Neodiprion lecontei: one gene and its partners. The protein of the gene in region 2 binds, or shares a complex with, the protein of the main gene of each other region. Links are inferred from orthologs where the notes say so. Each region holds a gene or a part of one and is shown on either strand. Other genes may lie near its edges.

Evidence for each region.
Region 1: exosome component 10 (region 2) and exosome complex component CSL4 share a complex: the UniProt entries of both Caenorhabditis elegans proteins name them as parts of the RNA exosome complex. The link is inferred for Neodiprion lecontei from reciprocal best matches to the Caenorhabditis elegans genes crn-3 and exos-1.
Region 3: exosome component 10 (region 2) and exosome complex component RRP41 share a complex: the UniProt entries of both Caenorhabditis elegans proteins name them as parts of the RNA exosome complex. The link is inferred for Neodiprion lecontei from reciprocal best matches to the Caenorhabditis elegans genes crn-3 and exos-4.1.
Region 4: exosome component 10 (region 2) and exosome complex component RRP4 share a complex: the UniProt entries of both Caenorhabditis elegans proteins name them as parts of the RNA exosome complex. The link is inferred for Neodiprion lecontei from reciprocal best matches to the Caenorhabditis elegans genes crn-3 and exos-2.

Annotation. Positions count from the first base shown.
Region 1 is NC_060263.1:20,668,965-20,674,454, forward strand, and holds exosome complex component CSL4, read right to left. Parts: upstream 2,817-5,490; 5' UTR 2,717-2,816; coding exon 2,680-2,716; exon of another isoform or gene 2,524-2,679; coding exon 2,408-2,523; exon of another isoform or gene 2,331-2,407; coding exon 2,082-2,330; exon of another isoform or gene 1,994-2,081; coding exon 1,912-1,993; exon of another isoform or gene 1,572-1,911; coding exon 1,459-1,571; 3' UTR 1,051-1,458; downstream 1-1,050. Other genes in the region: syntaxin-8, read left to right, coding at 5-97, 262-422; ABC transporter G family member 20, read right to left, coding at 4,638-4,939, 5,020-5,196, 5,399-5,487. UniProt on the Caenorhabditis elegans protein: Non-catalytic component of the RNA exosome complex which has 3'->5' exoribonuclease activity and participates in a multitude of cellular RNA processing and degradation events. Involved in regulation of antisense ribosomal siRNA production.
Region 2 is NC_060263.1:36,947,202-36,954,682, reverse strand, and holds exosome component 10, read right to left. Parts: upstream 5,503-7,481; 5' UTR 5,323-5,502; coding exon 5,185-5,322; intron 5,064-5,184; coding exon 4,818-5,063; intron 4,745-4,817; coding exon 3,218-4,744; intron 2,997-3,217; coding exon 2,407-2,996; intron 2,082-2,406; coding exon 1,925-2,081; intron 1,780-1,924; coding exon 1,711-1,779; 3' UTR 1,332-1,710; downstream 1-1,331. Other genes in the region: pancreatic triacylglycerol lipase, read right to left, coding at 1-101, 191-294, 478-963; coiled-coil domain-containing protein 50, read left to right, coding at 5,915-5,972, 6,081-6,143, 6,266-6,383, 6,615-6,792, 6,973-7,481. UniProt on the Caenorhabditis elegans protein: Catalytic component of the RNA exosome complex which has 3'->5' exoribonuclease activity and participates in a multitude of cellular RNA processing and degradation events. Involved in apoptotic DNA degradation.
Region 3 is NC_060262.1:41,627,123-41,631,788, reverse strand, and holds exosome complex component RRP41, read right to left. Parts: upstream 2,284-4,666; 5' UTR 2,008-2,283; coding exon 1,837-2,007; intron 1,754-1,836; coding exon 1,454-1,753; intron 1,368-1,453; coding exon 1,011-1,367; 3' UTR 856-1,010; downstream 1-855. Other genes in the region: trifunctional enzyme subunit beta, mitochondrial, read left to right, coding at 1-8, 211-516, 628-672; protein cornichon homolog 4, read left to right, coding at 2,978-3,052. UniProt on the Caenorhabditis elegans protein: Non-catalytic component of the RNA exosome complex which has 3'->5' exoribonuclease activity and participates in a multitude of cellular RNA processing and degradation events.
Region 4 is NC_060261.1:25,394,104-25,400,078, forward strand, and holds the start of exosome complex component RRP4, read right to left. Parts: upstream 3,898-5,975; 5' UTR 3,772-3,897; exon of another isoform or gene 3,658-3,771; 5' UTR 3,627-3,657; coding exon 3,493-3,626; intron 3,450-3,492; exon of another isoform or gene 3,197-3,449; intron 2,471-3,196; coding exon 2,230-2,470; intron 858-2,229; coding exon 336-857; 3' UTR 1-335. Other genes in the region: T-complex protein 1 subunit zeta, read left to right, coding at 5,301-5,437. UniProt on the Caenorhabditis elegans protein: Non-catalytic component of the RNA exosome complex which has 3'->5' exoribonuclease activity and participates in a multitude of cellular RNA processing and degradation events. Involved in regulation of antisense ribosomal siRNA production.

The DNA of each region.
Region 1 (5,490 bases), about 16 Mb from region 2:
TTAGAACAAGATGAAGGTCTGGAAGCATTGTCAAAAGTTATTTCTCGACAAAAGGATATCGCAAACACCATTAATAATGAAGTCGATCATCAGAATGGTGAGTATTTTGATTCACTATCTTTATGTTGCATATTCGCAATGAAAATTGTATACCATCACAATTTGTGGGTTTGAACAATCCAGTAATAGATATCGGAAAATTAATTATTCCTATGCGCGAATTTTTTCACACTAGTTTGTTCATTTCGCCGTTTGTTTTAGAAATAATCGATGATCTGGCCGATCACATGGAGAGGACCGATCAACGATTAATCAATGGAACTCGCCAAGTCGGTATAATTGATCGTAAAGATCGAACGTGCGGTTATTGGATTGTTATCATCTTGTTATTTATTAGCATAATTGCAGTTGCCGTAGTTTAAAATTAACATATAGAGGCTTATATTCACAATATATAATAATCAGCACGGTATATTCAACACACGTGATATCGAAAGTAAAATTACATTTCTTGTTCACCCCTTGCTTCAGATAATCGAAATGGCAACTTCACAAACAATATCGTATATACGATTTCACACTCTTTTCAATTAGCACACTCGCATTGGAAGTTTTCAAAAATTTGTGAAAACCATTGTACGCGGCTGTAAAGTAAATCAATTCGGTGCAGCCCAATTATTCCGTTTATAATTAGATTTTATGCTATTATTTGTAAATATATTATAGATATTTCTCTCGCCTGAAACTCTTTCCATCGCATTTCACTGGTCTTTTTCACCACATTCAAATAGTAGCCAGGTTTGATTTATCAGTGTATCCTTGTTGGGAAAAGAAATCGAACATGTTAGTATCGTTACAGAATGCTTGAGAGTATTTTGAGTTGACTGTCACTGAAAAGAATAAACGAAAATTAAACGTGTTGGGGATCTAACACAAAGAAACGAAGGTCATTCTTTGTGGATTTTGTAAATTGCAATACACAACAAGACTGAATTATGGGAGGAAAAAAATTGCAGCAAGTGAGTCTTCCAGGATATTTTTTCTGTGAACTCTGCATTTTATGTGCAATAACAAAAGAATTGAATTACTCAATGGATTGAGGAGTAAAGTTTGAGATTGACCTTGTGAATGACCTAGTGAAGTGTAATTTTTTTTCTCTAATGTACGATAAGTAATTTGTAGTATTATTGCAACTCGACAGGCAAAAGCTGTCTACAATGTATGTACATAAAAAATTACTCCAAATATATGAGTACGTATTTATATATGTATATATATAAATATAAAGTACTTGACATTCCAACAAAAATTAGTGTTCCTTATAAGCATTTCAATAGAAATTGAGACAATATTGATTCTATATGTTTAACCCAGTTTACACAATCATCCAACTATGCTATTCATTGTGGCACATTGGCAAAATGAATAGTCCGTTTATGAATGCAATTTACATTTATTTTATTTTTCATTAACGATATGCTCCGGTACAACTTTAGCTACTTTGCGCAATTCTTTGTTTAGGGTCTCTGGGCACTGCATTTCCGTCCAACTTACAGGCACCATAGATACACCTGTATAAAAAAAAAAACGAGGAATTTTCTACATTAACCCTTTACTCAACAAAATCCATAATTTCCAAATAGTGATATTTTGTTTTCACAGCAACTAATCTCAATTCACCCTAAAAAGTACAATAAAACTTCCATTTCGAGTCTAAGGCGGTAATTTTTCCAAACGATTTCATTTTGATAAATGAAGTGTAAATGGTTATGACACAAAGATGAAAACCTGTATTGTGCTGATTTTTTGTTTTACATATCTTCAAACTGAGAGCTGAGAGCTATTGAATATTTTATAGCGTATATATTCTTTGACATTTTTCTACCGCTATAAAAAAATAATTCTGCTTACCCTCTTCGCTGTGGGCGATAACGACTCCCAATTCATTCTCGGCAGTGGAAAGTTGATAAGTATGGACTTCGGTGAGAGGTAACTAAATTTTGCATGGGAAAAGTAGCCAACTATGAAACTGCGGTATTGATAACGAACGGTAGAAAAAAATTTTCAAAGAAAAAGGATACAACTCTAGCCAGAATAATATCTCCTGGTTTAAAAGATTTGTACATTTCAGTCTTATCTTTTTCCGTAGCCCTGACGTCTTCTTTTCTTAAAATGCCTCTGTAAGGTCTGGTCAAAACCACATCCCCAATGCATTTTATAACGCATTTGCAAAACCTTTGATTAACGACCATTACCTCGGCTGTTACAATGTCTCCGGGAGCTGGGACAATGCTTTGTTCTCTTATGCCGTGCACCTCAACTGTGCTCTTCTATTGATAATAGAAAGTGAGAAATGATGTTTAATCTGAAGGCAAGCGACCGTGAAATATCTTAAAACTTATCGTACGTGTTCATCTTTAACCAAGTTCACCACTCCTGCTAATTTTGAATAAATATATCCGTGCTGCTCGTAAGTTCCCGGTCCTGGAACATTTACTTTGTCCGACAAACAGAGCCTCTGACCTGGATTGCAATAAAAATTTATCATGAGTCTTAACCACCTTTAATTTGCATACAAACAAAACGTAATTGAGGATAGGACGGGCCAATTCATTTGGGACATTTCTGCGTAGAAAACTTGGGAAATGTTTATCGATTTCGTAATTCATTCATCCTTACCTGGAACACACACTATTGGCTCATTTCTTTCGTCCATTTCAGTTTTGAATCTATGTAAGTTTATTATTATTTTTCAAATTGCGACAACGGTGACAACATGTGGAGCACGTTTGAAATTAGGTTAGGTTGGGTTGTCATATTGTAGTTGGATTGGTTGGATTGGTTGGATTGTAAACAGAATTTTGTCAGCCTCGAAATCGCAAATGATCAATTGATCGATATGATTTAAATGTAAATCCATGTAAATCATCGTCGCACCAATCATTTGGAACGTTGACTGACTTCAGTCAAGTCTCGGAATACCGCGGAAAAGGGGTTAAGTAATTAGCTCTTAATACCTGGATGACAATGTTAAAATTGTAAAGGTTGAAAATAATGAACAATTCAAAAGTGCCGCCTCCTTCATTTCTACAAATTAATAAGTTTCCGTCATCAATGTTCGAAATTCTAACAATAGAAAATTATTCCAATTTATAAATCTCGCAAGATGTGAACCGATTCCAAGAAATCGTTGATCAAATTTGATCGAGTTTCGTTGCGATTGTTAAAAATAATTAGTGATTAAAATTTTTTAAATTGCTCTCCCGCCAGTTTGTATAACCGGAAGTCCGCGTTAATTTGAAAAGGTTTCGTACATTACTTCAGACCGCTCGATGTTCTTCTGTTGTTTAAAATTTATGGTGCTTGCACTGAAAGTTTTACTCCACCATACGCGGAAAACCTGTTGAATACTAACAGCAAGTCGCATAATTGACACATAACATTTATGACAGTTTATTCGCTGCAATGCTACAACATTACGTAATTATCAAATGTACATATTAATTAACATATTTCTACTTATAACTTAAAAGTCACAGACTACACAAACTATTGAATTGAACTAAAAGAAAGTCACCTGTATAAACAAGTAATGACATGATCATAGAAGTAATTGTTTGAAAAAATGTATACAGTGGGTTACATTAGTATCTCAGATACATATTTTCAAACGCATTATTATGATTATATAATTAATTACCTTCTTTATTACACATTGTTATATTATACAAAATATAAGCTCGATTCCAGGAGTCCACATAGCTCACAAGTACACATAATAGGTATAGTAATATCTATTCAATTGCGTTTCAATGTACAATTTTTTTTGTTGAATTACATACTATATTATTCACACACGTTGGAACAACATCGTCACTTTGAGATGCGTTGAATACTTTTTTTTATACGTATCAAACAAAAATGGATATGTGTATACATAAAACTTATTGAATCGACTGTAGATACGTGATACCCTATAAATAATCCGCTATATCAGTAAATCACATAATTTATACAATAATTGATCGGTCGAAAATATCTTTTAAATCGCATTATCGATGCTGTTGCGAAGAAAAATTAAATAATAGCAAATCGAAGTTGATGTGAAAAAAGAAGATAGAAATACAATAGAACCTGGTTTATCCGAGGTAATATGGGGAGAGCATAACTCGGATGCGTGAAATTTCTGATAATACGGAAAACATGTACAATCCATGCCATTACGATGTTTTACCCTAGCTTCCAGAATCGGAACTGCAGCGATTATTGCTCGCAATGTCACAAATCGCAAGAAACTTTTACAAGTTTATCCGTATTCAAATAAAGATGCGACACAAAACTATTTCATACACATAAGGCACAGTGGATTGTTCAGTTTCATCCAAGGTTCTCCGTATTATCCGAAGATATACACATTGGTGAATGCAGAGTGCTCGGATGAGATGGGCCTCTTGGATAATGCGGAACCTTGGATAATCGAATGTCGGATAAGCTAGGTTCTACCATAGAAATAACAATTTGCATGATTTAAATAAACGCCTTGATAGTTTCGTCGCTTGTAGATGAGCGCTAGTTAAACAAAGTACAATGAGGATGGGGTGCGATGAGGAGGATCGCCAATTGATTTACCTACATAATTAACCCTTCTTGAACTTAATCAGCAATATCGATAATGTGAGGAATATTATTATCCACAGGAACGTGGAGATGAAACCGTCGTAAACGGCTGGCTGAGATATGGGCCATCCTTTACCGAGCATTGCCCTGATCGACTCTGTGCTCTTCGTCAACGGCAAGATAAAGCTGATGTATCTGAGGACCGGATTCATCCCCTCGACTGGCCAAATGATCCCACAGAGCATGACGATTGGCAGAAAAGAACCCATCGCCATGTAAGTTGCGCTTCGTTCGTTGTCGCAGGCACAGGCAACCACGAAACCTGCGGATAGCAATTATGTTATGTAGCACTCAATCATATCTTTTCGAAAATTCAACCGGTAATACTGTGAGATTAATTACCGAAGCACATTCCACAGAGCCCCGTCAGCACCGTCAGAACCGTCACCAAAGCGATGCTGCCATGACATGTCAGCTTGAATACCGCGAACGAAAAGACTAGGACCATCAATGTTTGGCCGCACATAACAACGAACTGGGTCACCACCTGGCCGAACAAAATCTCCGTACCGGTGATACCTGCAAATACGAGAATGGATGAAAGTGACAAGCGGTATGTTATTGAAGGTTAAACTTGTTCCTTTTGTTGAACGGATTGTGAATTTAATTTAAGATAGTATATTTTGTCTTGTCGCAACACTGGAAAGCAGAGCTGGGATCGTGTGCTCAAAGGCCTTTTCTTTTAAATTAGAGGAATATTTTTACACTCTTATTCACTTACCGGAAACTAAACTTCTTTCCATTAGACCTTCGTTTCTTTCAAGAAGCAGCGCTCCAGACGTCAAAGCAACGGAAAGGAAGAAAATGATTCTA
Region 2 (7,481 bases):
TGTGAGCCCCCAGGCTATGGCCCACCAAGTGCAGCGGGCCCCATTGACTTGGGTGTATATTTCCACTAGCCAGTGTAGTGTTAACTATCTGTCCTAAAAATCTAAACAAATTAAGAACATCAGTTGCACTGCGTACCTATTTATTTTATAATCTTAACTCAAATGACATGGTAAGTACTCAGTGACAAACCTGGTGATTATGTCTCCAACAATCCTGGTATTTACAACAGCCTTGTAGTAATTCCAGGAGTTTCCTCCAGCACTCCAGTCAACAACAATTACATTAACGTCACCCTAAAAGCAATTGGATTTGGAAAGTGAAGTTTAATCGATAAACCATGTGGTAGTAGAATATAACACGGTTTGATTTACAATTAGATGGTTTGTGGAAAGGTGCTGTGGTTTACATTGAACATAATAAAATTGCGCGTGCAGTTAACAAGGGAAGTCTCATACATTTGAATGATCATTACTCACCCACAAAAGGAATGCATCTTCCATAGTTTTAATCCACATTTCATTGCCATGAGACAAAAACCCATGAACAATGAGAACAGTTCTTCGGTTTATTTGAAAGTCTGTCCATTCCAAGCCAAATTGCCTTCCAACTAAAACCTCGACTCGATGGCGTTGCCTTCTCGATGACAAGTAAAACTTTACATTCAAATTGTCACAATCCTTGCAACTACCAACAAAAAACCAATGCAGAGTGCTTGCAATTGCACTACCCAAACCTAGACAATCTACTTTGCTCAACCGAAGAAAATTTGTTTCACTCTCTGACGAAATAATACCAGAAATATTGAATCGTTCACGAGTAAGACTACTAATTCCATGCCAATGAGATCTTACTAAGCTACCGTTTTTAATTTGTACTGAACTGATAATTGTAGCACTGCAATTGTTGTTAATAAACAGCATATATGACACAATACCGAAGATAATTATGCTAAACGCACTCATGTTAAGGTCAGTGTTGCTCTTGACGCACTGACCACGATTGATATTTTGTTTATCTAGAAGGAAATATGCAGATAAGACGGAAAGCTATGATGTGATACACTATCCACGTGAATGTTGTCATAATACCACTGGAAATGACTCAACTTTTAGTTTGTCTAGTTTCCAGGCTAATACCATGCACAAATTGACATTTCATCAAAAGAGTAGACCTAATTTAGGGAAAAACAAGCAAATACCTTAATTACTATTCACGACTGATGAAATGAATCATAATGAAAGAATGTTTTGTATCCAAACCCACCATCTAGTTTATTAGTTTATAATGTGGGACATTAATACACAGTTTTCACTGTAAGAAATGTAAACGATTGATGTTCATATTTGAAACGTTTTATTGTTTTAAAACCATTCTGAACAGTTTGAAAGTTAGACAATCTTACCAATAATATCAATAATTGGTACATGGATACTTGTATTTAAGAATGAAACGTAAAAGAAAAAGAAATTCAAATAAGATGAATGGTTCTATATGCTGTGGTATGCGACGTCTAATTCACGGAATATTTTATGAAAGTAATCACTCGCGCTAATCACGATTATTCCGTATCCCGTCCCATCACAGTAGGATTGAATTCTCACGTAGTGTAAGCTTTCAATTTCATCCAATATTCCCGATATATCATTTACTTCAGTTTACAGAAGTGACCCTTTTTCGGACCATATTTTAATTTTTACCAACCCACGGGGTTAGCAGTTCCATTTTTGCTTCTTATTACCTCTATTTCCTTTCCCTCGATTTCCTCGTGCATTCTTTTTCTGAAATTCAAGTGGAATTCGTTGAGTAAACATAAATTCGTGCTGTGGGCTTCTACCTTTTCCACTCGCAATTAAAAGAATTCGATCAATTGTACAACAATAGATAGTAATTTAGTGCTGTACCCATACGAATTTGCCAACTCACCTTGTTCTGAGCTTGGAAAGGAATCTGATTGTGCGCGCGGCTGCCTCCTTGAAAACTACTGAAATCGACATTTTTGTAATCAAATGATTCTCTAGGTAGAATACCTTTCTCTTTCATATTTCTCTTATTTTCCTGTTTACTCTTCTTCTTATTGTTTCTGAAAAATACACGAAATTATATTATTCTTACAAACCATCTTTCTAATTGATCATTACAATGCTTGGTGGATTATTTACTTATTTTACAAGGTTACTTAAAAAATTCTCTGTTATTTGTTCAAAAAGTACGATATTATCTATAGATGATAGCATGAAAAAATTGTAGCACCAGGAAAAACTTTCTGGGTCTAATAAATAAGAATCGGTTTTACAGTTTTCCAAGTCTGAAGTAAGCTGGAATCGTAAAGCGTGTATATAATGGCACAATACAAAATGAATGAAGAAATTCACTAAATAGTTTTTTCGCAATTGTAGAAGTATTACCTGAGTGATTTGACAGACAATTCATTATTTGCAGAAAGTTCCGTATCTTCAGTGAAAGAACTGTGCCCTGTATCGTGGTATGATTTCTTTTGTTTCTTTACACCCTGTGTGGGTGAATTCAACTCTCGTTTATCTCGTCTATAATTTTGAGTGAATTTTTTATGCAGGAAAGGTAGCGGTGTCGATAAATCATCTTGCGACTCTGTCAGTTTAGTATCATCATGATAATTAGATTGTCGTTTACGTTTTCTTCCCTGCATCTGGCTCAAAGTTTTGTGGTCAGGCCCGAACTGTTTAGAATCAATAGACTGATTCGAACTGCTACCAGCGGATTGCTGTACGCTGATTGGATTAGTAACTGCTCCAACCACATCTTTGAAGTGTTTATAAACTCTGTTTTTACTCTCTGCTATTTCGTTTTCACTATTTTCTACCAATTTTATTCTTTCAGCTTCTTCTTTTTCTTGTCTCTCTCTTTCTTTTGCCTCTTCTGCAGCTACCATGGGTAATACACGCTTATACCGTTCAAAAGGACTGATGAATGGCGTTCGTCTTTTTTTTCTCGTAATGTGCCCCGCAGTGTTTTCATCCTAATAAAAAAACAAGCAAAAAAATGTCCTCAAAGACGTACTTGAGAAAATTAAGTGATGAAAATGAATTGATCAAATTAATTAATAGGAGAATCCTAATCTGAGTCAATTGAATTCTAGAGCTGAATTAATTAGATTTTTGCAATTATTGTGAAATCATTTGCTATTTCAAGTTTCGCAGGGTAAGATTCTCCCTTAAAGTACACTTTTTGTTATCAAACCTCCGATTGTGGGGGGCTGTCAAATACAGTGACAGTATGAGGAATCGTGTGTTCGGTAACATTAATTTCTGAAGAGCTGTTTAGGTCCAACAAACAAGGTAAATCGGCTCTGATCTCCATATCATGTGGCATATCATGAGGTGAATATAGAAGTGTAGTTTCTAAATCTGTAACTTGATTTCGCTGCGTCATACGTTGTCGGATATCATCTTCTAGGATAGGTTTGATCATTGGTTGTTCCTTTGCTTTCAAGATTATTTTATGAAGCGATAATGCGTTTTGTCTGACCAGAGGGGGTATGGGGTTACAACATGCCAGAATTCCCTGCATTTCACGGGGTAAACTCTCAGCGATATTCAACAGCATGTGATTTGGTAGAACGTAACCAGTACTGTCGTCCTCTGCCCTGCCAGTAGCATCTCGCCACTTATGCAGTTCTCTAAGAGCGTACAATTGCCTATTGTTGAACATTTTCTTGCTCTTTCGATACAGATTCATACACTTTTCCTCCGACCAGACTGGTTTTCTGTATATCTTTTTGCATACGTCTGTACTTCGATCATACACTGCCTTCAAGATATTGCTTTGGCCATTGGCCTGTTCCAGCAATGCATTCATAAGATTATCTTTAATATACAACAAGTAGTGAGTATCTTCCCTTGCATATTTCATCAGCTCCTCAGGTAGAGGCCTGACTCGCCAATCGGCCAGTTGGAAATGTTTGTTCGGATCAATATCACAGTACCGCTTCATAAGATGTGCCAAACTTAGGTATGGCAAATTAAGCTGTTTGGCCGCAATATGAGTATCAAACATATTTACAATGTACAAAGACAAATCTCTTTGCAGCCACTCGATGTCACTGCCAGCGCCGTGAAATACCTTAAGAATGGACGGTTTCGTAAATATCTCATTAAGCTGGTGCAGCTCAGATCTAAGTGATAATGTGTCGACAAGATAGTCCGTATCTTTGGTTGATATTTGCATTAGACATGTTATGCCTTGGAATGATCTATAAGAATGATGCTCCAAGTCAACTGCAATCTCAGTGTATTTACTCAAATCATCCAATAGTATTTTTATATCTTCAGGTTTTTCAATCACGATTAAAGAAGTGTCGTCTATATGTTTATATTCAACAGGAACACGAGACTCCAGTTGATGCTCAGGTGCTTCAAACCTATCAAGTTCAAATTCGTATGGATGGCTGAAAAATTCTCCATCTTCATCTTCTTCGACATACAGAGCGAGTGGCTTCAATGAGTTTGGTTTATCCTTTATTCTAGGTTGCCAAGGTTTAATGCTGTTATCAATTTTATCTTCAAACTTCAACTGCGGTCGCTGGATATTCTTTGCCGTCAGTAAACAAATCGCTTGAGCCTTATTTGCCGGTTGAGTTTGCTGAGTTTTTGAATGGAAGGACAGATTGTTCCAGCTGCCGCTTACAGCTGTCGAGTTACTTTGCGATACAACAAATTCGACATCTGGGTTTCGCAGAATTCCTGAGGCCTCATCCATACATATTCCCTAAAAATAAATTAAATTCTGTTACTTTCCTTAACCAAAGGTAAATGGTTTTCTTCTGATGTTGCCAACTTACTGCTCGCTCTAATAAAATATCATTAGCTTCAATCAAAAGCTCAAACTTCTCTTCTATGTCACGCCGTCTGATATTGCCTCTCACTCCCACACCTTCTGTAATGTTTTGCATACAGACCAAAACGTTGTTGATCTCCTCATTAATGATATTACGAAAGGTTGGAAAACATTTGTAGTAGTCATATTTTTCACCACTGGGTAAGCCGTTGGCGGCCTTTATGCCGGTTTTTAGTGCTTCAAATCCAACCTGGAAAAATAATTTGATTACGATCAGCATAGACGATTAAATGAGAAAATTGACCAACATAAATCATTATGTTTTAGTTGTTTTAAATACGTATAGTGAGATTAGAAGCTGTGACACTCACATTAACGAAATCATCAAAATTTGTGAACCCTGGTAGGATTTCGATGACCTCCACACCCTGAGCATTTGCGGATTCATCCTGTGGTTCGGAATCATTACGAGATTTGTGACCAGGCTCAATACTCGTGTCGGTGCTCATTTTTTCCACGAATGTCGTCAATAAAAACGTGACGAAACTTTCTATGCACTTTTGAGGTTAAGGGTACCTAGTTTTAGGGTTATATCTTACACACGCCACCAGTGTCTCGAAAGTGAGGAAAGTGAGCTTGAAGTCTGACTACTTGATACATAAATGTTGAGTGTAAGGGCCTTGCGACCAACTTCATTTGTAAAAATTGCAAAGTGTCATACTTCGATTTGCATTAAAACCACAGCTATGTAATTGGCTAATCTGACGTTTTATTTTTTCCATGAGTCTGCCAGCCAATCGGTGTGTCTGACTTGTCGCTGTCGCTGTATTAAACATTTTCAATAGCTTCTTCACGCACTATACCATACTATACCTAACCTTCCGTAAACACTACTATCCATTCTCGAATGTGAAATGACGCTTGTAGTTGTATCTACAAACGTGTGAACAGTGATTACAGACTGTAGTATACAATGCATATTCAAGATGGTGCGAACAACAAAGCGATCCCATAAGGTGATGTAAATAAGAAAAGTTGTCTACGAAAATTGTTTGTGAGCAGAGTTAAGAAAACGCGCAAGGAATAATCAAAACCAAAAATATGGCCAAGTCTGTATTGAGTTCAGATACCCTTCCTAAGGCAGGAAGAGTAAACGAAGGTTAGTTGAATATATCCAGAGTCTTCAAGCTTTCTCTTGTCACTTTTCAAGACGCGCCGTAATTGCGGCTAATTCCTCTCGAGTTAATGTTAATTCCGACGGTTACAGTTTGTCGGGAGTGGCTGGTACACGAAGATGGAGCATTGGCATACAGACTACAGGACGAGGAGAGTAAGTTTTTTTCGTCATGACCAATATTATTACAGTCTCAACCACGGTAATAATTGCGTGAAATTTACTGTGATACGTAAACGATAACCAACAATGGCTCTCATCTCCTTTGTTGTTTACAGTTAAAGAACACTACACAGGAAACAAGGTTCGCAATGCACAAGTACGCGAGGATTTACCTAAGGCCAAAGTTGAACAAGAACTTGAAGCCCTTAGATATCAATGCATTATCCAACAACAGTTAGTGAAACTATTTTTAAATTGAAAACATATGGATTCATGATCGACTTTCAAATAGTTCTATACTTATATTATTGATGTGCAAAAATGTGTTGTGCAAACAAAACTTTAAACTTAATTGCACATAAAATTGATTTACTGTTTTTCAAGTTTATTTTTTCATAAACATGGTATTTTTTTTGTCAAAATGAAACATTGTAACCGAAGAATTGATGAAGAATTATCCAACAGGGAAGAGAAAGATGCACTTGTTGCAAAGCAAATTGCTTTAAATTTAGAACGTGAGGAACGGAAGAAAGAAAGAATGTTGCAAGAGCAAATGAGACGGCAGCTCAGACTCGACGATGAAACTGCGCAGCTAGAAGCTGAATTGGAGATGCAAAAGCGGATTCAAGAAGAAAAAGATCAGGTAATATAAAGAAACAAGAATTTCACGTACATATTTGTTCAATACTAATTGATGTAGAGGTAGTTTCCCACATGTGCTGTATGATACTGGAATAATATAAAAATCACATAAAACTGAGTTATTCAAAGATGTCTATGGTAATTTTACTTATCTACGTTATCATTATGCTATGCTGAATAGGAATTAGCAAGAAAGTTACAACTGGAAGAAGAAGAAGCTACGGCAGAGGGTGAAGGTTCTATGATAGATGAACAGCTGCTAATTGACCAGAAGATAGCGATGGAAGCTCAGGATGCAGAATTAGCACGAATGCTACAGGATAAAGAACGTGCAAAAGCACGAAGAGCAAGAGAACGTGCGAAGCAAAAAAAACTGGAAAAACAGCAGCTTCAACTACTCGAGGGGCAGAATGCTATTGAAAAGCCACAAAGGCCTGACAAATTGGATCTGAAAATACAACACCAGGTTAAACAAAAAGCTGGTGCTAATTATTCGCAGTATCCTGATCCAGAAGAAATTCAGGTACTGGAGAGTCCGTTGAATGAAATAAGGGAAATGCCCAATGTTGCTGCCATGATTGATCCAACATACAACGGTAATACACACAGAAGCTCTTCAAGCAGTTCAAGCAACACCACAAGCCCTGCTTATGTTTTACCCACACCACCTCTCGAACTGATGGACGAGGA
Region 3 (4,666 bases), on a different chromosome or scaffold from region 2:
TCCCAAAGGTAAAATTATCTTCCCTAGCTTTTATTTTGACCCTGTCATACGAATACAGATTTCGCAATTTGGCTGGTTTAAGTACTGGAACTGTAAAATTCGAACATATGGAACAAAATTTTTTGATCCCCCAATTAATGGAAATATCTAGTTACATTAAATACAGGTTGCACGAAATACAAAAATGTATATAAATTAAACGCCTCACAGGTGTTGGAAAAAGCCGGCCTGGGCTTGAATGACATAGGAGTCTGGGAAGTGCATGAGGCGTTTGCTGCACAAATTCTAGCAAACTTGAAAGCCATGGATTCTGATTGGTTTGCACAGAAATATATGGGTAGATCAGGTAAAATTGGTGTGCCAGATATCAACAAGTGGAATGCTTGGGGTGGTTCTCTGTCTATCGGACATCCCTTCGCCGCTACTGGAGTTAGATTAGCAACTCACACAGCAAACCGCATGATCAGAGAGGATCAACAATTCGGGCTAATTGCTGCCTGCGCTGCTGGTGGTCAGGTCAGCAATGATTTCTTATTTTATTATACACAAATTTTAATTCTTGGATCCTCAAGCCTGGCATGCGCTGCAGTAATCAATGACGGATGAACCATTTATCTTTATTTACAGGGAGTTGGAATGATACTGGAGAGACACCCAGATGCCAAACTTTAACGGAACTGCAGAATAAACTATTCTAATCTTCTATTCGTAAATACGATACACTGCATTAAACGTTTTATAAATGCAAAAGAGTACGAACCCTTTCAAAACTAGGCTGAAAGAACGAATTTATATTTTTACAGTCGGAGATATCTGTTATATAAATGTGTACATGTATATATTTTTTAAGATTTATTACACCTTGAAAAAAGGAAAAAAAAAGCGTAATGAAATAGTACAATAAATCATGATCCATTTCAAATTTTCATTAGTTCATTTCATATGCATAGCTGACGACACATACACACATATATAAGTAAAACAAATATGGGGATGAATTAAACATAGTACTAAATAAAATGAGGATCATGTGTCGTTAAATGGAATCTAACTGCTTGATCAAGAATCACCCTTGTATCCCGACAGCCCTGCAACGCCCGTTGCCTGAGCCCTTCGAGCCTGGAGAGATGGAGTCGTGCACCAGTTCCTTGCGCCACGACTACTAAACCGGAATTGTCGGTATCTGACTCATAATTAGAGCCAGGGGCTCCTGGTAAAGCAACGACAGTTAATGTCGTCGCTCCTGTACATTCCTCCATATGATTTGCATCAACTATTCCTGTTCCAGATCCTGTTTCATCCTTACTGTCAACTTCTTCCGAAGCTCCCATGCTGGCTATCGTTGCTGTGCATCCTACAGAGTAATCCTGTAAGTAAAGCATATCAAATTTCATTATTTTTATAGTAGAAATCAGTAAAAGCACAGTGCGTAAGAAGTTATTATTAGAAGTACCTTAATGGGAATACCAGCGTCGATTAGAGCGAGAGTCGCTGCGTTTACTGCTGCGCAATAATCACTGCCGTCGGACTGAAGGACTTCGACAAACACGTCGATTTGAGAGCGAGGGTACAGTTCTACTTGTACAATAGCTTCGATAGCCCTGCGTAGCTGCAGAGACGTTTCTTGGGTCTTGCGATCACCGCGTGGTCGTTTCTTGCGCTCACCGGCACTAAAACTGAACACAGCCATACTGTACTGGCAATTTATAATTCCCGTGCCACTTCTGTTCCCACCACGCCCCCCTCCTCTTGGCTGTAGCAAACAATTGTTATTGTCAATGAGCAAGTTAAGAGAATTATGGATGTGAACAACTGAAATACGTTATAGGAAATAACCTGATGGGGCCCGTACACTGCAGCCAAAACTTTTGTGTTGCCCTGTTCTAGGTAAGCACTCCCATCCGACTGCCCGAAGACACCCATTCGAACTCGAATCTGTCTCAACTCATTTGCTCGTCGTCCATCGACTCTTAGTCCTTGGTCCGACACTAAGTCTTGGCCAGACATTGCGAAATTTACTTTGTATACTTTCAGTATCACTTTCCTTTTACAATTAGTCGATTGTAGAATCGCGTGGTGTACCCGTTTGTTGTCGATCTTGCCCAACCTAATTTGTCTCGGCCTTTCAACCACGCTTTCGTGAGGCTTTGACGGCTTTGACCATAATCTTTCCTGCTATACCATGGCTACACTAATAACTAAAGTGAGCTAGGTGTTCGACGGTAAGTAAAGATATGTTTTGTTGGTAACATGAATCATCGGAATAAACGAAGATGGAAAGCCCAACGACACCCACGAAACACTTACCAAACGCGTTCGTGTACCGGCAGCACTGTCAAATTACTAAGATATAAGATTATCGACTAGCGTTCGCCCACTTCGCCCTCCGAACGCGCACGGAAAGTTAATCAGGTTCATGTAAATAATATTATTCAGTGTTCAAATTAAGCGCACAAATTTGTGCTTAGGCATGATCAGCATGTTTAAATTCGCTAGTAATTAGTTTGAAGCGCTAGAAATCCCTTGAACAGACGCAGATTTACCCACGAACTCGGCAGCGCAAAAGAGATAAGAGATGATTGACAGCACTGGGAGCTAACTTCGAAACACACCCTTTAGAGCCAAAGTGGATGTGAGGTGTTGTGCCCTTTATAAGTCTATGGTTGTGCCTTGAAAAATGTACGCAATCCACTGACAGTACGGTAGTCGCTTTCCAATGCGGCCTCGAAGGTTTTCTGCGATTCTAGGGCATTTTCTTCTCGGCCAAGTGGTATGCTTGGTGGCAAGAGGCGTGAAGTGTGCTTGACGAGGCTTTGACAGTCCCACGACAGTCGGTAGTTTATAGATTTACCCACACCTTTTCTGTAAAAACAAAGATTTAATTCTTTGGTGTTACGCTTACCGAATCAAACTTGTTCCCGATATAATTTAGTTCTAATCTGAGAACTTATTGACAGCTGAATTACGTGTAGAAATCATGGTTTCCGAGCCGCTGTTGTTCGCGTTTGCTCTATTCGACACCGGCGCTGTGCTTTTTCTGCTTGTGTATTTTGTATCCTTTTTTAATTGTAATGCTTTTTGATTAGCGTTATATTACGCTGTACGTTATCGATGAATTTACGTTGCATAAACATCTCGGTGTATGTTGTTTGATGTTTACTCGGTTGCTTTGACGTAGTCCAAGATTTCTAGGGAATTTCACGTTGTCATGTTTCGCCCATGGTGCCTTAGAATACCCTAAATAAACGTCAGGGAGTAGTAGGGTGCAATAACCGCCAATTCAAAGTCTGCAACGAAACCCACGGCGATGACTGAAGACTGTCAAAGACGGTTGCCCTAACTGGGTTTTGTGTATCTAACGAGATTGAGTGTTAAACAGCTCCCGCAGGTAAAAAAGGATCGCTAACACGGATTCTTATGGCTCTAGGCCCACTTACCCGCTGAGTAATGGTCTGGAAATGTTTTTTTTTCAGCGGTAACCGTCTGCATACTTCCGTCAACACTCGCGTCAAATATGTCGTTGAAATAGTTCCATTGTTCTGTGTTGGGCAGCAAAAATGTTAATAGGCTTATAGAAGACACCAATATCGTGGCTTCGTTTTGGTTAACAATCAGTCCTGCAATATGCATGTACAACGTATATGACGTACAAGTATATCTTGTCTATGATTTATAATAGAAACCTACAGATAAAAGAAGATGAAAACTCGAAATATATTTATAGATGTGAAAACGTCTTGAATAAATAGTCTTACAAAACGCACCTGTTTAATTGACATTGACGACTTTCCGTTTATATCTCTGTTTAAATAGATTCTGCATAGTTTCAGGGGAGTTTATATCGTTTATTTGTCTTTCACGACCCGCACGGTTTTTGAGAATTGGTAGCAGCCACGAGTTTGTCGCAGTACATAAATTAAAAATAGCCCTATATTAAATAATCGCTCAATTCAACGTCTATCTCACCGTCGTTTGCAGTTATTAATGCAAGCAGATATTACGCAAGCTCTAAAGCGGCGCCTCTCGTGTCGAGATTGCTCTGCGAAAACTATACGTTGCATCTTTTAAAGTTTAAATTACCTAGTTAACCTGACCCCGGTGTCGAACTTTTTCTTCTTTGGCAATCAGAGTATCACGTGTCCATATAGATATACGCATAAAATTTGCAATTTCGTGCACAGGTAGTTTAGAAAACTTATTCGTTTGCTTGTTTTCTCGCGGGTAACGATGATATGATGTCGGTATGAATTTCCTCCCAGGATTAACATATCATACATCATTATTCGTGCCTCGAACCTACGCTCGATGCCGTGCCGAAATGTTTCCAAATGTCCGATTTACACGAGTCCCAGACGCCTTAACAACACATCATCTAGTTTACAACAAAGCTCTCGGTGCTCGTCAGAGAATGGATTATACATTATACCTGTGTAGGTGCTCCCAGTGGCTATTTTCTCTCACATGCTTTGTTCAAACCGTTCGTAGGCGCTTCTCTGATTTTCACTATACGTACAGGACACGACAAAAGAAATATCGATTAATCCAAAATAACACGCCACATCTGGCTGTGTGTCCAGCGGAACTGTTTTTATCTGAACCATTACTGAAACTAATTACGGACATGTGTAGATATAATATGAGTGTATATATTTTGTACAAGTACAAT
Region 4 (5,975 bases), on a different chromosome or scaffold from region 2:
TTACTTGATTCAAAATATACTTTCGTGTTTATAATATGAAAAAATTGTATTGAAAGTCAAATTCTTTTTATTTTACTTATGGCTATAATTAACAAGCAGTTTGTCTGAATTTATCAAAGTAAAAAATTAAAATACGTATTAATATGTTCGAAAATTTTGACATTATGTTAGCTTATTTTGCTGCTTGGGTCAAGCAAAATGTTATCCTCAACTTCACAGTTTCACAAATATTAAAAACGTACATTTTTCACGACTGTCATACTGCAATGTTTTGTAAACTCGCATGTATTTTAAACGAGTACATAGCTTGGTGATTCTGTGTTGCTAACTTCGTCTCAATCAATTCTCTCACCAAGCCTCTGCTGTGTGAGAAGTGCAACGTCGAGTGCAGCTTCAGGTTGTAGCAACTCATTCGCAGAGTATTTGGTAGATTCATCATAAGCGTAAATTACTGATGTATCAGTGAGTAAAATGTTGGATCGAGCCAAAGCCAAAATGCAATTTCGCAATCGCGCGCACATTTCTCGATCCTGCTGCGGTATACGGGACAAATCTTGAGCAAATCCACCTTCTGTCCGATCGGTGTTGTGAATGCTAGCACCTATCCACACATAACCATTATTCCCCAGTATCAAATTCGCGCCAATTAACAAATTGTGGAAATGAACCTTCTTTCGTTTAATCAGCGAAGGTGGCACTTTCAACAAAATCCCCTGCGAAAGTTTTCCATACTTCAAAACCCTTGTGTGCAATGACAGCGAACCATCAGCGAAGACATTTTGCACCTCTGCACATATCAAATCACCCTCCTGCAAGTAACGTCGCATCGTTTGTTCATCCTCTGCTGATCTCCGCCTCTGAAAGGTATTTTTGAATAATGACAGACATTCTACATAGGAATGAATGTGCCGTACTCCTTAAGTGAGAAGTTGGAAATAGAGAAAAGAACCGTTAAAAAAATTTCCAGCAGTGTTGTTTGCGTCAATGATAGTGAACACAAATGTCCGAATCTAAAGATTTTGGATTCATTTTGTTCACTGACTAGACCACCCTTGCAAATTGTCTGGTAAACATTCCAGAAATCTTCAAAATCAACAAAATAAGGTCAGAACATTAAATTAGAATCACCAAGCACCAGAGTTCAATCATTCTGAATGTTTTAAATATTAAACTTTTTCTCATATTATTGATATTTCAGCTTGTGTTAATCAAATTTACTTCCAACTATTACTATTAACGAAGCTGAAGTTAGTAACGTTACCGTAATCAAAAAGCAGGGAAAAAATAATTATATTGTTCAATTTAAGAATGATTTTCAACGAGTTGGCTTTTCAAGATATGAATAGGTTTTGTTTATTATGGTTTACTAAATTTTAAACAATCCTGAAGATGCGAAGTAACGATTTTTCCCGACCACGCATCGTTGCAATAACTTTACCAACTTCATCCTTATTACTATTACTCAGTTAGGATGTTGCTTCATCCGTGTTCACCATCATTGGTGCATATAACATAGTAGGTGATTTTTCGAACGGAATTTTCGCTTTTCCAATTATCATTGAGACAGTAAGGCCCATTTAACCTTAAGGTCTTGTAATACTACCTTTACCGACGGAACAAATTCACCCTTTTTTTTTCTATATTAAAAAAACAAAAAAACGGAAAGGGTTCAAATTTCGATGATGTATCGCTCTTTTGTAGCGGCATTCAGGAAAATTACTCATATCGCGAAAATCGTCAATGTCAATAGTTACACATGTCAAGAAACCATACTTTTTTTTCATGATTTTCGGGATATACATAAGAAAAGATGCACCGTCAAAATTTAAACCCTTTTCGTTCGTCTGTGTATTTAATATAGGGATAAAAAGGGTGAGTTTGCTCGGTCAGTAAAGATAGAAGTACTACATGACCTTAAGTGCAGTAAATCACATATAGGTAAACACTCGTTCTTAGAAACATCTCAAGTTCAGAGTAATATTCGAAATATGGTTTGTAACGTTGATGTAACAACATATGTCTGAGAAATCACGTTATTTCACAAAATTGGGATTGTTCGGAAAACAAAAAATTTTAATAAGGCAGTAAGGCAACCTAGTGCTGCACAACAGTGATTACTTTTCAGTATTGTAATAACATTGTTACTAAATTGAACTTCGTTGTAAAAAAAACACTAATCTTGTTTTGCATGGAGATTGTAGAGAAAATTGATGGGGTAATCAAACCTACCAATTCTCCACCAGGAAGATTGACACTGGATAAAAGTAGGGCCGAATCCAATTTTGAGTTAGTATCAACCTTCCAGCGTTTTTGCTGAAGCTCTGTAATTCGGCCGACAATTACATCTCCAATTTCACCTTGGTATCGTGCCTTCAAAGGTTTCACAGATATCAGTTTATTCACTTTTTCTAGCACACCAGCGACGGATGCGCGCAGCGTGTCATTGTCATCCATGTATGTCCCATGACCTCTTTATAACATTACAATACACAGAATTGAATTCAAAGTTAATGAATTTCAAATCATGAGTCCTCTTTGTACATAATTGGTGATATAGCTTGAATTTAAATAGGATTAAGAACTTTCATGCATAACACTCTGCAGACATTCATTCATCCAATCAAGCTCAGTGATTTTGCTTTACCCAGAAAATAAAAAAAAATAAAAGGTATATTAGACCGTTTTGAAACAGATTTGTTTTGATGGCTGTAAACCCCGATTTTCAGAAGAAAACTGATGGCATGATACAAAGGTTAAACTAAATCAATCATTTTATAGTTTTGAATAATTGCCTACGGTTTTGATTTAATTTCTTTTTTATTACGATCATAATATCATTAAGACTCAATTCAATTTATACTGTATAATCACATCTCTATCCATTTTCATTTGATTGTTTTGTACACTTTTAAATTCACTTGAAATGCAGTTTGATACGTCATTGTCAAATCAAGTTCAATCCATTTATTTCTGTTTAATTACTGCAACAGGTTAAATCCATGTTAATCAGTGAATAGCATTAGTGCGTTGATGGTTTTCGTATCGATCTTTATTGTGGAAATTCAAATTGCTATAACTCCAATTCAATCTATGACAAGATTCCGAATTCTGAAATATAATTGCTCATATATTTTGACCTACACTCTACTTGTATTTAATAGATTCCAATGACTATAACTGTAATGATACCTGATACCTGATAACCAGCCTTTATTGGTACAGAAACTACGGTTGGAACGGATTCAACTAGTAATCCAAGCTTTTATAACAATTGCAATTTTATTTTTTGGATTTTCTATTGATCAATTAAAATGGATTTAATCTTCACTCGTTTATTGGGTGATGCGTCACACGGGATCTGGTTGGACTGTGTAAGGAGTATTATTGGAAAAAGCGGGAAAATAGGTATAAGCGGATTTAGCACATTCCTCAATAGGTAATAGCCACTAGGGAGATAGAAGAGCTCATTGGATAAGATGGATTATGATGTACCTCATGAAGTCAGGCTGACTACACACCTCTTCACCGGGTGTATAATATCTGGGCATCCCATGGTCACCGTTAGATAAATTCGTATTTGTGCGATGAACTGCCAGCCGCACGCGGATCATGTCTTCATCATTCATTTTCAGGTTATGTACTGTATCCTCAAGTATTCTTGTAGAAGAAACACACTGTTTAATTATTGCGGATTCTTATGACGGTTAATAAAGTTTTTCAAATCGTATGGACAATTTAAAATTAAAACAACTGATTGTAATACTTTCATACTTTGTACTAGCTCACTATTGGTACTGCAGGATAGGCTGGAGATACGCGCTGAATTGCAAAACAAAATAAGCTGTTGTTGCCAAATTCATAGAGGTATATAACAAGTATATATGCTTATTTATGTTGCCAGCCATCAGGGGCAGCGTAACAAGCAATGCCGGCGCTGCGATAGGTTGTTGGTTTATAACCTTCGGTTCAACCAGGTTAAAGCGGTAAACTCGGTTTTAATGTCAAGGTGTGGAGGTTGTGGACCGGGCCTAACTCTACAAAAGTACACTTTAAAATGGGAGCTGGATCCATTGGGTGCTTTCCATTTACTAACTCAAGTCGACTTGTGTCGCTATTTCTGGTGTATTCCTTTGCCCAGATTGGCCGGTTACACCAGAAATAGCGACACGAGTCGATTTGAGTCAGTAAATGGAAAGCAACCATTATATTCATAGGTAGGTACACTTTCGCATTCGACCGACTGTGGCGCTGTAGGTTTCTCTGTGTTGCCCATAGATTTATAAAGATAGAGCGAGCGCTCTTGTGAGCCGCTTGAATCAAACATTTGAAGGACAGAAATATGCCGGGAGTACTCCTTTCTCTCTCTGACGATATTTCTGGCGGGGATAGAGGCGGTAGAGGAGAATGAGGCGAAATTATGCGCCTATATCTGTAGCTGTTCCACTGCCCCGTTGTCTCCCACCATGAGGCCGATTGAAAAGAGAGAGCAGTACTCCTGGTATATCTTTGTCCTTTATATGTAATTGTCAGTGCCTTTTATAGGAGCGCTCAGTCTATTTTTATAAGTCTATGGTGTTGCCAAGGTCCCTAGATTAGACAGGTCAAGACAAGTGTGGGCAAAAAAAAAAATTAGTGAGAATGCGCCAAAAGTTTCGTATGACAATGGATGCTTTCCAGTTTGAGCACAATATGACACGGTGTAAACATTTCTGGTCTATTCCTTTGCCCGGATTGGCCGCTTACAATAGAAATTTGTACGCTGTGTCACACTGTGCTCTAAATTGAAAGCACTTGGTGTGGTTCTGATTTCTGACCTGTCACAATGATTAACCTCAAAATATATACGTGCTTCTATTTATTTCGTGAACGTCAGGACACTAGGGGCGCAACTCGTTAATGCTTAACCTCAAAACATTGAACAAGATTGGTCAAAACTGGTTAATGCGGTAATGTAAGTTTGATGTTTTTTGGGCGAACGTGCATAGAACATTTTTTCCCACGTTATAGTGAGAAAAACTGGAACAAACGTGTCTTGACCTTCCTAATCTAGGGACCTTGCTCATCCTTACCGACGCATGAGGTCCCTGGCGGATTTCCGTCGTACTAAGACATAATAATCACAGAGCTCAACACAGGGAGTATGAGGCAGTCGGACCACCTCTTATTCTTATACCGTGGATTACTCACATTCATTAATTGAAAGTTTTCTGATCTAAAAGGCACTGCAGTTGTTTCTCGAAGCGGGTGTATTCGCGGCGTTACGATTATCTTACGTTATTTATTATAAGAATAATAAAGAAATGGCAGCGATTAGTCTCCTAAACCCGAAAGCTGAGTTTGCACGAGCGGCTCAAGCTCTGGCTGTTAATATATCGGCAGCAAAAGGCATCCAAGATGTGATGAGAACAAACCTGGGACCGAAAGGGACTATGAAGATGTAAGTCGATTTCGCCGCACATGTGATCACACAAACCACCAACCTATGTCAATTCGTCGGCGCTGTCTCAATCGCCAAAATAATAATTTGCTCTATCTGTTACAATGAGCCTTCATTCCGTTCTCAATCATAAAATCCAAGCTCATGTATTGTAGCCAATTAACGTATCAAAATTTATGTCCATATAAGGTCATCCACAATGATTACATCCACTTATATACACGTACACCCATAGAGGCCTTATACTGATTTTGGTTTTAAACGCCGAAAATAGTGATAAATGTTGTTCAGACCTATTATTGAGTAGTTGTAAAGGCAAATTGTATTTTATAATTATTACTTTATCCGAGTGCTGAAATGTCTTCAAACTTATGATAATAGAAATAGACTTGTGGATCGAGTGAGAAAAGTTCAGAAAATCTATGATAAAATGAAAAAAATATCTGATTCAGCTGCAGCAGCGTGCACTTTAAATCCAATAACCTGAAATCAAATGTAGACTAGCTGCAAATATTTTAGTGTTTCCATTAATTTTCCG